3 linked regions of the Danio rerio genome follow. The protein of the gene in region 1 interacts with the protein of each later gene in a pairwise test. Links are inferred from orthologs where the notes say so. Each region holds a gene or a part of one and is shown in the gene's direction. Other genes may lie near its edges.

What was found. The genes of interacting proteins can lie anywhere in the genome.
Region 2: the proteins of rab2a (region 1) and tbc1d25 interact in binary tests that used the Homo sapiens proteins (3 or more experiments, as listed by UniProt). The link is inferred for Danio rerio from reciprocal best matches to the Homo sapiens genes RAB2A and TBC1D25.
Region 3: the proteins of rab2a (region 1) and fam114a1 interact in binary tests that used the Homo sapiens proteins (3 or more experiments, as listed by UniProt). The two-hybrid records come from large-scale screens. The link is inferred for Danio rerio from reciprocal best matches to the Homo sapiens genes RAB2A and FAM114A1.

Annotation. Positions count from the first base shown.
Region 1 is NC_133177.1:25,074,137-25,079,294, reverse strand, and holds the start of rab2a (ras-related protein Rab-2A), read left to right. Parts: upstream 1-1,893; 5' UTR 1,894-2,123; coding exon 2,124-2,169; exon of another isoform or gene 2,170-2,204; intron 2,205-2,984; exon of another isoform or gene 2,985-3,124; intron 3,125-4,340; exon of another isoform or gene 4,341-5,158.
Region 2 is NC_133183.1:25,551,246-25,556,328, forward strand, and holds the start of tbc1d25 (TBC1 domain family member 25), read left to right. Parts: upstream 1-2,028; 5' UTR 2,029-2,310; coding exon 2,311-2,355; intron 2,356-5,083. UniProt on the Homo sapiens protein: Acts as a GTPase-activating protein specific for RAB33B. Involved in the regulation of autophagosome maturation, the process in which autophagosomes fuse with endosomes and lysosomes.
Region 3 is NC_133176.1:20,108,657-20,113,839, reverse strand, and holds the start of fam114a1 (protein NOXP20), read left to right. Parts: upstream 1-2,128; 5' UTR 2,129-2,160; intron 2,161-5,183. UniProt on the Homo sapiens protein: May play a role in neuronal cell development.

The DNA of each region.
Region 1 (5,158 bases):
GTGTATGAGAGAGGAGTCTAGGGTTCCATGCTGAAACTGCTGCCCCTGGAACCCATAATTATATTATGTAACAATATAAATGAGCTTTAAATTCAATAGATAACGCTGCGATATATTTACATATAAGTTTAGATTCAGTTTGAGCCTATATAACTATTATCAACTTTAAATAGTTACTTACTTACACTGATAAAGTCAATTGCTTTATTAGTTGTCACCTTTTCCTTTTACTTCATGAATGTGTTTAAATAGCTTAATTGTCCTCAATCTCTCAGGAGATGTCAATCATAGTTTCAAGGCATTTGATTGGCTCTTTAATAATGATGTAACATTCATGTGCAGGCTTTTCCTGAACACAGAATCAAAGCTTGAATTCACTTCTAATGGGTTCCAAAACTGCAACAAAAAAGCACTTTTTGCTCCATTGACATGTTTTACCCCGCTGTACAACAGAATTGGACATGCTCAAAACCCAGTTTGACTGCGGCTTAAGTGTGTTGTAGCAGGGTTGGAATTTAACTCTGTAGGGCTCCAGTCTTCCAGTAACTGAGTTTGACTCCCTGGATTAGAGCATAGGTATGAGCCCTTCTGAAATGAATGCAGTGTGGGACACCAAATAACTTCCCTGCTCAAAGCATCCATCAGTTTTATCCCTCAAAATCCTTCAAAGGGTCCTTTGAAGTAGCCAGTTTTGAGCACTTCAATTTGGATAGAAACTATGGCAGCCATGATTGTTTTCTTTCTGAAGTGCCCTTTGGAGGGTGCTACAACCGTTTGGAATACACACAGAAAAGATTGATAATCAGCGTCATGGTACCAACCAGGCCTGACTGATTTGGTTTGGGTTTTTTTTTTCAAATCAAAACTAATTCTGAATTTGTTCATAATGACTGACAAGTGTAAATTTCATAATTTAAATATATCAAATCCTTTTTTCTTGCTTAATGTGCATTAAACACTACATTTAGAGAACTTTTTAGTTGATTTTCTTAATGTTTAAATATTTTTGAACCCGCATATTAATAAATGCTTTTCTTGTTAGTTCCAATATCTAAAAAATAAAATAAAAAATTATTTCCTAGACAAGTAAAAAAAAAGTATCGCCTTGTTTTCAGAAATAATTTCTAAAAATTAAGTGAGTTTTTCATAAATTAATCTGGCAGTGGGGTAAGCAAAAAAAATGTAAAAAAATGAAAACACTATTATTTTGATTACACCATTGGCTGATTATTTTGCTTGTTTTAAGGAAAAGTTTTTTAAATTAATGGATTTCTTGCAGGTTTGAGAGAGAGGATGAGCAAATATGACAGTATTTTGATTTTGGAGTGAGCTTAATCTTTAAAGGAATCCTATTGCGCGTCTTTACATTTTGAATGTATGCAATATGCAATATACACTTACTGGCCACTTTATTAAGTACACCTTACTAGTACCAGGTTTGACCCCCTTTGCCATCAGAACTGCCCTAATATTTTGTGGCATATATTCAACAAGGCACTGAAAATATTCCTCAGAGATTTTGGTCCATATTGACATGATAACATCATGCAGTTGCTGCAGATTTGCCATGCTCTTATGTTGTTGAAGCCAAATTCTGAGCCTGTTGCATCAGAAATCAAGACTCATCAGACCAGACAACATTTTTCCAATCTTCTGTACAATTTTGATAAGCCTGTGTGAATTGCAACCTCAGTTAACGGATAGGCACTTAATCAGTTCACCCAATATGGCTTTTAAGATATCAGTACAAGGCTTGAAACTTTTAAAATGCTAATAAATCCTTTTGATGTGTTTAGAGAAAAATAAGCCTCCTTAAACATCACAACTAAAAACCCAAACTGTCTCTCTGCCCTGAGGGCGAACATTGACCTGACACATCGCGGTGAGGTGAGCCAACTTCCGGTGAGGTCCAGCAGATCCTCTTCTGTTCTGCGTGCGTGGCGAAGGCGGGACGTGTGACGTAGGCCGGCTGGAGCTCGAGGTGTTTATTGTTCCTTCCCGTCGAAGAGAGAAAAGGGCTGGCTTAGCGGAGGCATATCTCGCACACACGCTTTCCCAGCGGTTTTAGCTTCACGGAGCCATTTTAGTAAGGCCAAAACAGGTTGATCCGGGAGCGGTTGGCCATGGCGTACGCGTATCTCTTCAAGTACATCATCATCGGAGACACGGGTAAGCAGCGGCCGAGACTCGCTTATTTCCGCAGTGTTGGACTTAATGACGTGGTTCAAGCAGAGGCGCGAGGGGTGGGAGAAACATCTGACAGCCTGTTTTTGTCTCTCCATCTGCCTCATTAGCTCCTGGGCTACGTTTTATCGCACACTTTATGTCAACTTCCAAGCGTGTGCTTTATGTCACGACAGCGGCGTGCAGTTAAAAGGCTGTCACGGTCTTTTGTTTTCCGCTGGGTGGGGGAGTTAGCAGACAGGCTAAACGCTGCTTCATATCAGCTGTCCGCCTCGATAACGACTGCAGAATCTCTGCTTTCTGTTAGCATGACACGTTGAGCGAAAAAGCAACATGCTGTGTACCTGTCAGTGCGTCTGACGGAGAGTTTGCTTCCTTCACTTACATCTTTCTTGAGTCCAGCTAATCTAAAGGCCAAAAGCAGCCTGGCTAGCTATAGCCAACATCGCTAGCAGCTATTTACTCTTTCTGAAAATGGCGTTGATTCCGCTGCATTTTTCTTCTTCAGAACGTTTAATAAGTAATGACTGCTATAAAAGAAACGAGTTTGTATCATTAATAAAAGTGACACGTTTATTAGTCAGGGCCATATAATGTCTGTGCATATTTGTGGCCTGCTAGTGTTCTCATCAGATTTCTGTCACTGAAGGCCTTTCCTCAAGACATACGACAACAACAGTCAATGCATTTCTGCCTTAGTATAGTTTTTTTTTTTCTCATTACACAGATGATTCTGATTATTCCCATAAACATTTTTTGGATTATAGCATAAATACTGCGTTAATAAGATGTCCACATGATTTTTGGTATTAGTTGGTTCCAAGTTATTAATTTTTGTTCATTTAATCAAGTGTAATGCACATTAATAATACACAAAACAAAATAACATGGTAAAAATGGGTCAGTTTTATCCAAACTGGCTCATTTTTATTAGTAGTCCCTTTAAAGGGCCATGAAACCCCCTCGTTTCAGCAGGGTGTTTTCACACCTCCACTTTCGAAAAAGTCAGAAAAGTGGGCGTGTCCAGCTCTGTTTAGGGGGGAGTGTCGGAGGAACTAAAGTGGGATGGTGTGGGAGTGTCTATTTGTGCACGCGCGAGTTTCAGAGTCAAAATACACACCCACACAGACAGGAGAAAGCGATGGTGTTTAACCTACATGGACATCTGTAGTCGAATTATTTGCCAAATTATTAAATGTTGGACTTTAACTGCAGTTTGGCTCTTTCATTCAGGGAATTCATTCATGCCTCTCGCGACAAACGAGATATTTGATTCGAGGATCTGCTCTAAGCGTGTATTTTTCATGCAATGTTTGATACCGCACGGCGAATGAGAGGGAAAAAAAACTCCGCATTTCCCGGAAACTTAGATGCACACGGCAGGCAGCGTCAGAAAGCCGCGTGTGTTATTTCGGTCACTAAATGCGGTGCTAACATTTCTGCACTCAGTGCTATAGTTAACTTAATTCGATATGAACAAACTGAATAAACAAAGAGCACTGGTCGCTCACTTACCAAATCTGTAGAGACAGGACAATCACCAGCAACTAGAGCCGCGTCTTTATGGAGAGAATACTACAAGCAAATCCAGATTTCAGCGTTTGCAGATGAGAACAGCTCTCAGGTAAACAATAATCCCCCTTAGACACGTAAGTTATTGTTGTCGAGCGTCGCGTACACTGTTAATCCACACGTGATCCAGCTGAGCTCTCACAGAGAGAAAATGAAAACGAAACTTAACGGCAGCAAACTATAAAAGCAACACTTCACGCTTGTTTTGTCAACACAACGTGGCGTCTTTGTGGTGTAAACACGGTGACACAAATGAATATTAATGAAGTTGCACAATAGAGCTCGCTGATTGGTTTGAACCAAGCCTTACTAATGCATTAATGCATCACACTGTAAGACGTAATAAGACTCACTCAGGCACAGACGCCCAGTCTGCATGCTGGAATACACGCTATTATGTCATGACCGTGACGCAGCTTCAAAAATTCGTTTCAAACAGGAAGTACGAATTTGCTTGAAATAACGCAAAAACAACCAATTTACACTTTTTAGTGAAATATAGGTGTCCTAATAGTGTTTTTAGCAGTGTGGGACACATATACGACTGTCAAAAGCTCAAAAAATGTGTTTTGGTGTTTCGTGACCCTTTAAAGGCTATATTTTGCATGGAGCCTATTTAAAATGAGTTTTTTAAATATGCGTCTACTAGCATTTAAATTGAACATACGGTGTAATATTTTTGGTGGATTAAGTACCGTTATCTTGATGTTATTACATCTGTCAACATGTGTCTTTATTTGTCCTACTGACTCTTTAACTTAAACTACCCTTTAACCTTAAAACATTAAGCACTAAACCTGTCCTCAACTTAACCACATCCCACCTGTATAGCAGCAAAGGTGTTTAGCAATACAATATGACAGCAGTAAGTACATTGTACCTGATGATCAAATTTGATACAAGTAAAAAGCGCTCTATAAAGTGGTACCTCGGTTTTTCCCAAGTGTTTTTTGCCTCCGCTATGAACTGTCCTAAAGTAATTTTATGCTTTTTTTTTTAAATGATGACCAGATGTTAAGGATTTTGTTGTTCTGAAACCCATTGCAACAAATGATGTGGTACTCCTTTTCTCGTGTTTTTAAATGATAATCTTACCATCTCCTTGTGTTGATCCATTTTGCTTTAATTTTAACCTTGTTTTCATTGGCAGGGTAACATGTACATTTTATCCACTGACTGAGAAATGTCTTTCCATTTATGTGGAGATGTGGTTATGACTGAACAACGTAGTCTATTTAATTTACATGTCTTTAATTTTGATCTGTCACATTATGTACACAACGTGTGTGTGTGTGTGTGTGTGTGTGTGTGTGTGTGTGTGTGTGTGTGTGTGTGTGTGTGTGTGTGTGTGTGTGTGTGTGTGTGTGTGTGTGTGTGTGTGTGTGTGTAGTTTACAGGATCC
Region 2 (5,083 bases), on another chromosome or scaffold:
TTGTTTGCTTACATTTAAGTCTGTGAATAGCTATGCTGCTAAATTCGGTTTTCCAGGAACAAGAAAGATGTCATCTTTTTGTATGTACGTGCTCTACAATTTATAAAATCAAATAAAAGGCTTTGTATTAATAGTGTTGATTCTCCTTCACTAAACATGCCAGATTTATTGCCATGGCTTCTGTGTACAGTTTTTGGTCTCTTATATCCCAATTTAATACAATTTTAATTGCTAGAAACATTATATGCTGCATTCTTGATTTATTTTTATTATATTTTAAGAATTTCCTCTGGTCTCAATTAAATGTACAGCTAATTATTGGCATAATGAAAACTAAAACTAATATAATGACAAAGGGCATAGATGGAAATATTATAGGGCTAAGGAAAGATCCTAGAGGCAACCATATTAATATCTATCTACTGGTAAATCTGATGTGATCTGTAGAGTAAAATACAGCACTGCAATCTTGAAAAAACTGAACCTAATATGAATTGGTGCTCAAGAAACATTTATTACTATCAGTGTTTTTTATGCTTAAAGGGATAGTTCACCCACAAATAAAAAATCTGGCATTATTTACGCATCCTCCACTTGTTCCAAACTTTGAATTTCACACATAGGTTTTTTCAAGGATTAGCCATGTGAATAAAAGCTTTTTAATATTTTTTTTTCACATTTTTCGAGGGCCTTGTACTGATTTTTGCTCTTTAATAAAACATACATTGATCAATCTTGAAAATTACTAGTCTCTGACTTTCAATGTTTATCATGTTTTTTTCGATGGCTGTCAATGGCTACAAGTTTCCAACATTTTTCAAAGCATCGTTTTTTGTTTTAAAAAGATAAATAAACTAATGGTTTGGTAAAAAGTAAGATTTTTTCCCAGAGGTGGGTTGCGGCTGGAAGGGCATCCGCTCTGTAAAAACTTGCTGGATAAGTTGGTGGTCCATTCCGCTGTGCCGACCCCGGATTAATAAAGGGACTAAGCCGACAAGAAAATGAATGAATGAATGAAAAGTAAGATTATGAGTCAGTTTTTATTCTTAGGTCTCAATAGAAAAAGACTTCACAAAATTAAAAAAGCTTTAAAATCAAAGGTTAATTAAATATGGTGGAAGTTTTAAATACAGTATGTTTAAATAACAGAGAATATAAATTTGAGGGACATATATCCTCACAGAAATATCGAAATCAAAAATGTATCTAAAGTGCGGGAAAGAAGTTTGTGGTGGTATGAAATATCTTTCGTTTAAAATAAGTTGTTATTTTTTCAAATTGCCAACATTTTCATCAAAACTTTAGAAAAATATATATATGGACATAGTGCTTCACGATATTAAAAGTGTTTACTAAAAATATATATGGACATAATGCTTCACGATATTAAAAGTGTTTACTATACTTTTGGGCCAAACAAAGGCAGCCCGAGAGCGTAAGAAACATTTGAAGAAAAAAAATGAGCCAGAAATGTTTGAAAATACGCGCACGTCTCCTTTTTGTACAATTATAAGGTCTGAATCTGCCTGAGACGCGCAGCTGCTCAGTAGCGCGCCGTGATCGTATAGTGGTTAGTACTCTGCGTTGTGGCCGCAGCAACCCCGGTTCGAATCCGGGTCACGGCAAATATACAGAGCAAAGCATTCGTTTTCATATTGCTGTGGCTGATACATTTTACAATACAATATAACGTATACTATACATTAAACGTATTCATTTTAATATATACAAATGTAATAACTTAGTCTTAGACTTATTAACGTTATATTAATTTGCCCAAATACATTCATCATAATTTAAATAACGCATTATTTGGAATGAAATCGCTTTAAATCACCAACAGACATTTGTTCAGTCGTTAATTCTAATTTTCATAAGATTTTTGTTTTTTTCCTCACATAGATCGTTCATTCCTTCATGAATCCAATGATGTAATGCAAATGTGTCGTCATATCCTGTTGTTTCAAAACGTGAAAGCCTTCGGTATGGATATAGTCGTTAGTGTCTGTATTTATGGATCTACATAGACGAAACACTGATTATCAGATACCTGAATTATCATTAAAATAGATATGTATTATACAAGAAACACCTCTAGCTTTGCTTGCAGCGAGGCTTTTATTTTGAAACGTGTCAGCAGGATGTCGGTTGTTTTTGAGTGTCTTGTTAGAGGAGTTTTCATTGAACCTGCCAAAGCAGTAAGAGAGGGGAGAACGGGTACCCGCATCCATTGTTATTTTACTTTCATTTTTTTCTTCTGGATGACAACATCCCATCTTTGAACGAGACCATTAGAGCGGACTACCCACCATGTCTGTTGAGGAGGAGAGGGGGGTAGTTCGTGTCAAAGTCAAGGTGAGGAATTTTGGGGAGCGAGCGGCAGGTAGAAACCCCAACCACACACACACACACACACACACACACACACACACACATCAACACGGCGGGCAGGATGAAAACACAGTAACACACAGCGGTCCTGTCAGGCCACGAGTGTCTGGTTTCACGTCTAACGTTATCGTTCGTCTGTCGTGGGGAATTGTTGTTTGTTCATCAGCCCTAGTCTTCACGTCCGTCGCTTTTTCTTCGTTGGCATCTTTGTTGTTTACGAATCGTGACCGCATCATAAAAATATGTTTTACAGTACAGTACGATCAGAACAATTATAATTACTATATTATTTGAATTATCATGCGATATTTTCGTGAAATATATTTTCATTTCGAAGTAACGGTTCAGTTTTTTCATCGTTGTTGTTTTTGTGTCCAAATGTAACCGTTTATAAACGGTCTATAATTAGATGCTTATTTGCGTAAAAAAACTTGTCGCACAAATACAGTGGTCAGCATGTATAAGTACACCTCTGACATATCTTTTAAAATTATATTTTTAATAGGAAGCTATACAGTATTTGTGCTTGTACATTACATTAGTCAGTGCTGAAGCCAATCAGGAGCTTATCTAACAAAATAATTTACGATGACTGTCCAAAAACTAGTACACTGAAATTTAAATGGTATAGAAAAATATTAAATACAATTTTGTAAAAGAAGAAAAATCAAGAGAAACAAATATTTGAAAAATTGAGTTGACATTTTGTCAATATTTTGCATGAATTTAATTGTATTATCTTTCATGTTTAGTGTCTAAATAGTATTTTAATAAATATATATGTTCTTTAAATCTGTTTTTTTTTAATGCACCAAAATACATTGCCTAATTTCACTGAGAAATGATAATATTAATTTTCAAAATGGGGAGAACTCAATTATGCTGAGCACTGTATATACCGCTGACTTGCTTGACCGTGAGTCATATTTGCTCTGGAGTGTCACATGATCAACCTGAATCCTCTTGCTTCAGTATTTCAGTCATTTCTCGGGTGTTCAGTCAGATTTAACGTATACAAAAAGTGTTGTTTATGCTTTTGAAAGCTGTATGGCTGTTGTTTCAGATGCAGGGCTTTGAGAACCACTAAAATAAAATACAGAGCCACTTTATAAAAAAAAGCTTTATTCCTCTTCTGCTTCAAGATCAGTAGTGTCAATATAATTCAACAAAGGTTTCTATGTTTTGTAAAAAGATTTTAAAGACCCTTTTAATGAAAACCATTTTTTTCCCAACTTTAAACACTAAAAACTGTCTTTTATCCATCTGTCATATAAAGGTGGAGATGTTTGTTTCCACTTCAGGAGAATAGGCCTCCTAGCCAATAATGAGGAGAAAGCAACAACGTTCTGTGTTGTTAAAGACAAATTTGTCCCAAAAAAGGAGTTCCGAATACTGCTGTTAGAGGGTTTGGAGTGACTGATATGTTAAAGTTTTTTTTCAAAAGTGTCAAATATTTTAGACCAAAACATTGTTAATCTTGGACATGATCAAAACATGTGTGTGTGATTTGCTGTAGATTGTTGACCCTTATTACAAGTATTAATTCTATTTGGTGTATTTTGGCTAATCTGGCATTAGTGTGGTGTGCTCTGTAAAAATTCTTGCATTGCATTAAACTGTGTCGGGCACATATAGAAGAACTGTGTACAAAATTGAGTATATAATCCCCTTCTATTTCACTGATGGTGATCCATCTGTTTCTTTAAGATGGCTCTTTCACGTGCAGAATTTAGGTCAGTGAATTTTCAGTTTAATCACAGTGAAATTTTGATTAATTAAAGAGCTCCTGTACGACACCTTTTCTTGAGTCACTGTTTTTGAGAGGTAGAACAAAAGCTTAATTGTCTTTAATTTTAAAGTCTAGAGATGACCATTATTTTAAAACAAGTTTTCAAAAATTACATCTGTAATATTTTGTTTACATTCTGTAAATAAATACTCATTTAAATTCTTTATTTTGGCCTAAAATGCTAGTCTGTTTAGTACAGAGATGTCCAAACTGGGCCTTGCGGGCCAAAGTTGGCCCATGGTAACCTTTGATTTGGCCCACCATTCCAACTGATATGAGAAGGAGAATGAATGGGACCTTTGGGGAGAAAAAGCTCAACTTGTGTATTTGGCATTTTGTAATAAAAAAGATTTTGTTTTTACTGACAATTTAATATATGAAGGTCCAATTCAGTTTTCATTAGTGAATGTGGCTTTCTCAGTAGTCATTAAGATGTTTCTGACGGTGACCCATGTTTAGTCTGTGTTGTTATAAGGACTGAACAATATATCGTTTCAGTATCGGTACTGCACTATGCGTACCCGCGATAGTCACATCACAGGATGTGCAATGTCAAACTGGTATCATAAAGGACACATTGCTACATTTGAAAGCACTAGTGATTTGTCATTGCAATGTTTAACCATAACAGTACCAAAACATTTATTATTTATGTGTGTTTTAAAGGCCAGTGACTGTGTGGGCATTTTTTTAAGTCAGTTTAAAATATACTGGCATAGAAAATTATGCTTTCAACTTTAAGAAAGATGAATTGTATTTATGTAAATATGCAATGGAAACTACAATGTTATTTTACATTTTGTTATTACATTTGATAAACTAAATGTTGCTGAAAATTACACTGAGCATTTTATTTGTAGCATATCGTTGCTTTACTGTATTTATCAATGTTTCTGATTGATT
Region 3 (5,183 bases), on another chromosome or scaffold:
TGGCAGAATGACAAAATATAAACTCTTAATTGCAGGAAAATATGCACAATTGTGAGAAATAAATCTGCAATGCTTGCAGTGTAAATTGTAAAGGTATGGAGTCAAAGAAAAGTCAAAACTGTAAAATATTCAGATAATTTTTGAATTGTTAAATTACATTCTGAAAATCACTGTTCTGAGTTAAAAAAAAATCTGAATTTGCAGAATTGAATCCTAGCCATTGCAAACAATATATAAAATAAACAGAAATAATAATAAAGTAGCAGCTTGAAAAAGAGAATTCTGAAATGTTAATAACAATTTTGAGGGGGGGGGCAGAACTGTTAGATATAAATCCAGAATTTCGACTTTTCTGTAATTGGGGGTATTGCCAATTCTGATAACTGGAGTTCTGAGGGAAAAATTAAATTTGAAATATAAAATTGTAAAAAATAAATAAATAAATAAACAAATAATAATAATAATAATAATAATAAGAAGAAGAAAAAATAAGAAATTAAATTTTGAAAAAAAGAAATGGAGAAACAAATCAGATATTTAACCTCTGGTTCCTTTTTACATTTCTGGGTTTCTCAGTAGTGGAGGTCATCATAGTTGGGTAAACTTTGAGCGCATGAATGGGAGAGTACAGAAAATATTTTTTTTACAGTTCCATTTGCTTAAAAAATAAAAGAAAAACTTCACGATGGTGTTATCAAGACTTTAGGAAAATAAATGTAAAAATAGTATGAGACTGATAATGGCAACCAGAAGAGATTTGATGCAATTTTTGCAGAGTTGATATAATGTGTTATAAATGTGGTATAAATGTGTTTTTTTTAATCAAAATGTTAAAAACTTTCAACAATTTAAGATTATGATAACCGTAAACGTGTGAAAAGGATCCATTGTGATAAAGACAAATTTAAAAATTCTGAGAAAATAGGTCTAAATTGCAAAAATTGTGAGAAACCCTATGAACCTGCAATTATAAGAAATAGTCTGATATAGCAATAAATGCAAAATGACTCAAAATTCAGACTTTTTTACTCTGAACTGTGAGTTCATAGTATCTCATGTCTCTTCTGAATTTGAACTTAAAACATCTCTAAATTGTATTTTTTTTTCTTTGATCCTCATTTCTATTATTTTTTTCTACACTGTAAAACCCAACAGTTAACTTATTAAATGAAATGAGTGTAATCAACTTTTTATCAAATGAAATGAGTGTAGTTAACTCAAACGTTACTGAAAGTTAATTCTACTCATTTAAAAAGAGTTTTGAATTCAGTGTTGAAGGTAATGAATTAATTAAATACCTCATTATTTCAACTTAAATGGAGTCAGTTCACAGTACTTGTATATATTAGTTTTTCAACTCAGATGGTTTGTTGCAATCAGTTTCCTCAAACTGTTTGAGTTGCCTTAAACTTGGGTTTTACAGTGTTCAAATTGCTTTGTGTACTCAGATGGATTAAGTTCACAGTACTCATTAGGATTAGCATTTGAACTTAAATGGTTTGTTGCAATTAGTTTTCTCAAATTGTTTGAGTTACCTTAATTTTTTTGCATTTTTACTGTTTTCTTAATATTGAAACAGCCGTACTACTTTTTAGTAGAGAAAAGAAGGGCTCGTCCGGGATTTGAACCCGGGACCTCTCGCACCCTAAGCGAGAATCATACCCCTAGACCAACGAGCCGACCGTGTAAGATGATCGGGTAAAAGACATGACGAAAGTTAAGGCAGACCACCGACGGACCCATATCAAATATTTACTCAGTATCAAACGATTAACAATGAAATATAAGTAGTTTGACAGGCATGTGAAAACTTGCTTTTAAAATGTGACAGTTATCTCATCCTTCACGTTATCAGATTTCCCTCTTTGAAAACCAACTCTAAACTTCAACGCCACCTTAAAAGCCGACTTCAACCATATAAATACCTCACTGTCTCTCTCAAAGAAGGGTTTTAGCCCCACGTGCAGCTGTGTGTAGCACTTTACTGTAGTACATACACGAAATGCGACTGTATTTTGTTCAGTATTTATCTTCTTGTCTCCTGAGTGCCAAAAGTTCAGCTGACGTCACCCGCCACCGCCGCACGCGACCCCGCTGCCGACGTGGCGCGAGCTCGAGCGGAAAGGGTAGCGGGAGCGCGACTGTCTGTCAGCACAACTGGTAAGAAGGGATGACCCCATCAATTTACTTCATTTACACAACAAATAATATATATATGTTGGTTTTGCATGCGTTTGTTTTGCACTTTAGCATTAAGACTGTCTTTACGGAGATTTTGTCGCGGTTGTTGCCATGTATTTGGATATAATTGTATTATTTGAGTCAAATTCGCCTTAACCGTCGCTTGTAAAGTGCTTGAAACGTATGTTTATTTATGTTTACAATGTTTAAATAAATAGTGTGCACTAAAACGAGAGATATATCTATATTAACGAATTAACGATTTGTATAAACATGGGCGTTTGGTTTTTTTATGGAAATACAGAACTTGAGACGTCATTACACTGCATTTATGTTACTGCATAGAAACGGTAAGATTTATAACCTGTTGTTTGTAATCTGCTTAAATTTATACATGGTGTATTTTACTTTACTGAACCATTGTTTACAAACTAAAGTTTGAATGAGGTTTCTACGTGTGGAAAATAACCACTAGATGGCGCCGCAATCCGCTTTAAACAAAGGCGCTTGACAGTGTGGCACCATTCAGGGACAGCGCGGCTCCAGCTGTAGGCCTATGTGTGAATGCTTTTCTTTCCACACACACCCACACAAGTACACATACTGTACATTGCATTCAATTCATTAGTCATAATTCCATGTGTAATACACTGTACATTAATAATAAGTCGTACGTGCAATGATAGTTTGTAAAACCAAATCCTAAATTGTGACCCTAGACAACAAAACCAGTCATCAGTGTTTTATTGTAGTGTTTTTTTAATTGAAGTTTACATTGGGATGGGATAATATTTAGCAGATTTACAACAAAAATTGCCTTTAAAGTTTTCTAAATTAATGACAATGCACATGGCTCTTTCAAAAATTGAGTTTTGATGTATTCACAGTTGGAAGTTTACTAATTATCTTAATGAAGCATGATCTTTACTTACTATTCAGATGATTTTTTGCATAAAAGAAAAATCGATCATTTTGACCCATACTAGGGCTGTATGACATTGTTTTAGTCTCGATATCGCAATGTGTGCATCTGCAGTAGTCACATTGCATAGACATGCAATGTTGAGTTGACTTTGTAGTTTAATTTTTTCATTTACATGTACAAAACCATAAAGCATGCATTGTTTATTTCACTTGTATCTTTGCTTTGTTGCATTTATCCTTGCTTGTAATTTGTTCAATAGAGGTAAAGTTGGTTTTATATTCAGATATTCAGACATACTCCTTAATAATATAATTTCAGAAAAGTATTCTTTGCAAATTCTTAATAGGGAAATCATATTAGCAGCAAATGACTATCAAAGCACAACATTGTTTACAATGAATTAGATAGTGTTAATGTTGTTTAGAAGTCATACTTGCATGGTAATTCCGATCGAATATTCAACGTAACATAGTAAACAATATAGAGACTGCTAAATGAACGAATGTGCGAATATAAAACCATTTTTACCTCTGTTTATTCATTAAATTTAATACATGTTTCACTGCCCTACAGAATTATCCCGATCAATCAAAATGAATACTTCTGCTAAAACTTTGGACCAATTCTTACTATTAATTAGTTGCTTGCATGCATGTTATTGAGATATTGGCTGCTTATTAGTACTTTTAAACTACATATTCTGTATGATCTTATTCTACATCCCCAATCCTACACAATAACTAAACTACTTTAATAACTATTTATAAGGATCAAATTGGGAGTTTATTATAGCAAAAGTCTGCACTCATTGAACCTTAAAATAAAGTGTGAACAAAAGTGCTATTTAATCGTTTGCTGGAATGCTATAGACAGATACAGTATATTGCAATATATTTTGCAGAAAAACAAAATATTGCAATGTCAGATGTTTCTAATATGGTGTAGCCCTAGCCCATAAAATGTATTTTTAATTCCTGCCAAAAATATATTTATGCAAAACTGATCTTGTAGTTCAGGGTCACATTTCACAACCATAAAACCCTAAACATAAAACAAACAAATTATAAGTGTACATGATTATGTACTGTACTGTATGTGTGTGTTCATATTAACACTGGCTGCATTTGCTGGCGAAAGCAGTATGTGATGAGTGTTAGAATTCATACCATACTTCATAAGAGGAATGACCAGGGTGATCTGCAGACATTCTGAAGTGTATTTCTAATAGACACCTCACTATCCTATGAGGTCCCGGGAGAGGATTTGTAAATGACAGTATAGTGATGCAACTGATGATGGTACAGTCGTTACAATCATGTATTCATATGCATGGTGGTCATAAAGTTCATGGAGGCCACACAATACGATCTTTCTTTTTGAAATAAGAATTCCATCTCATAATCCCAAAGGAATTCTAATGGAATTCCTGGCATAATTTGGAAGCAAACAACAACAAAACAAATTCCCCAAGAATCAATTACGATCCAATTAGATACACTGATGATGTGAACAAAAGGTTTAAAACAATTATTCTGAACATCGGTTATACAGAAACATCCTAGAAATGGCTTTTAATACTTTTAGCATAAGCTTGAAATGATTATAGACATGATGTTAGCAACCCATAATTTAATTTACCTTATTATACCCTCTCTCAAGTAATTTTAAACCTTTATAAGTTTTTTTATTCTGTGAACATATTCAAGAAAATATTTATCTTTTGGAAAATTAGTCATGTTTTCAACAAGTGAAGGGTGAAACAATGATAGAATTAAAATTTTTGGGTCAACTATCCCTTTGAATGCATTAACACCCAGTGTATTCTGTATGCACTACAAGCTAATTTATACAGATATCTGCATGTTTGAGAAATAGGCCCCTGAGCATCATTTATACGATTCTTTAACAAGTACATAATAATTTTTCTTTTTATTGTGCTTGTGTGTTTTTTTCTTATAATCTGTCATTATAATGGTTTCTGCAAGTCTTAATTCACACTTTCCACAGTTTAAGCAAGAGCAGAAAATCTAATTCATTGAACTGAGGGTTTTATTTGCTGCATTAACTACAAAAATGA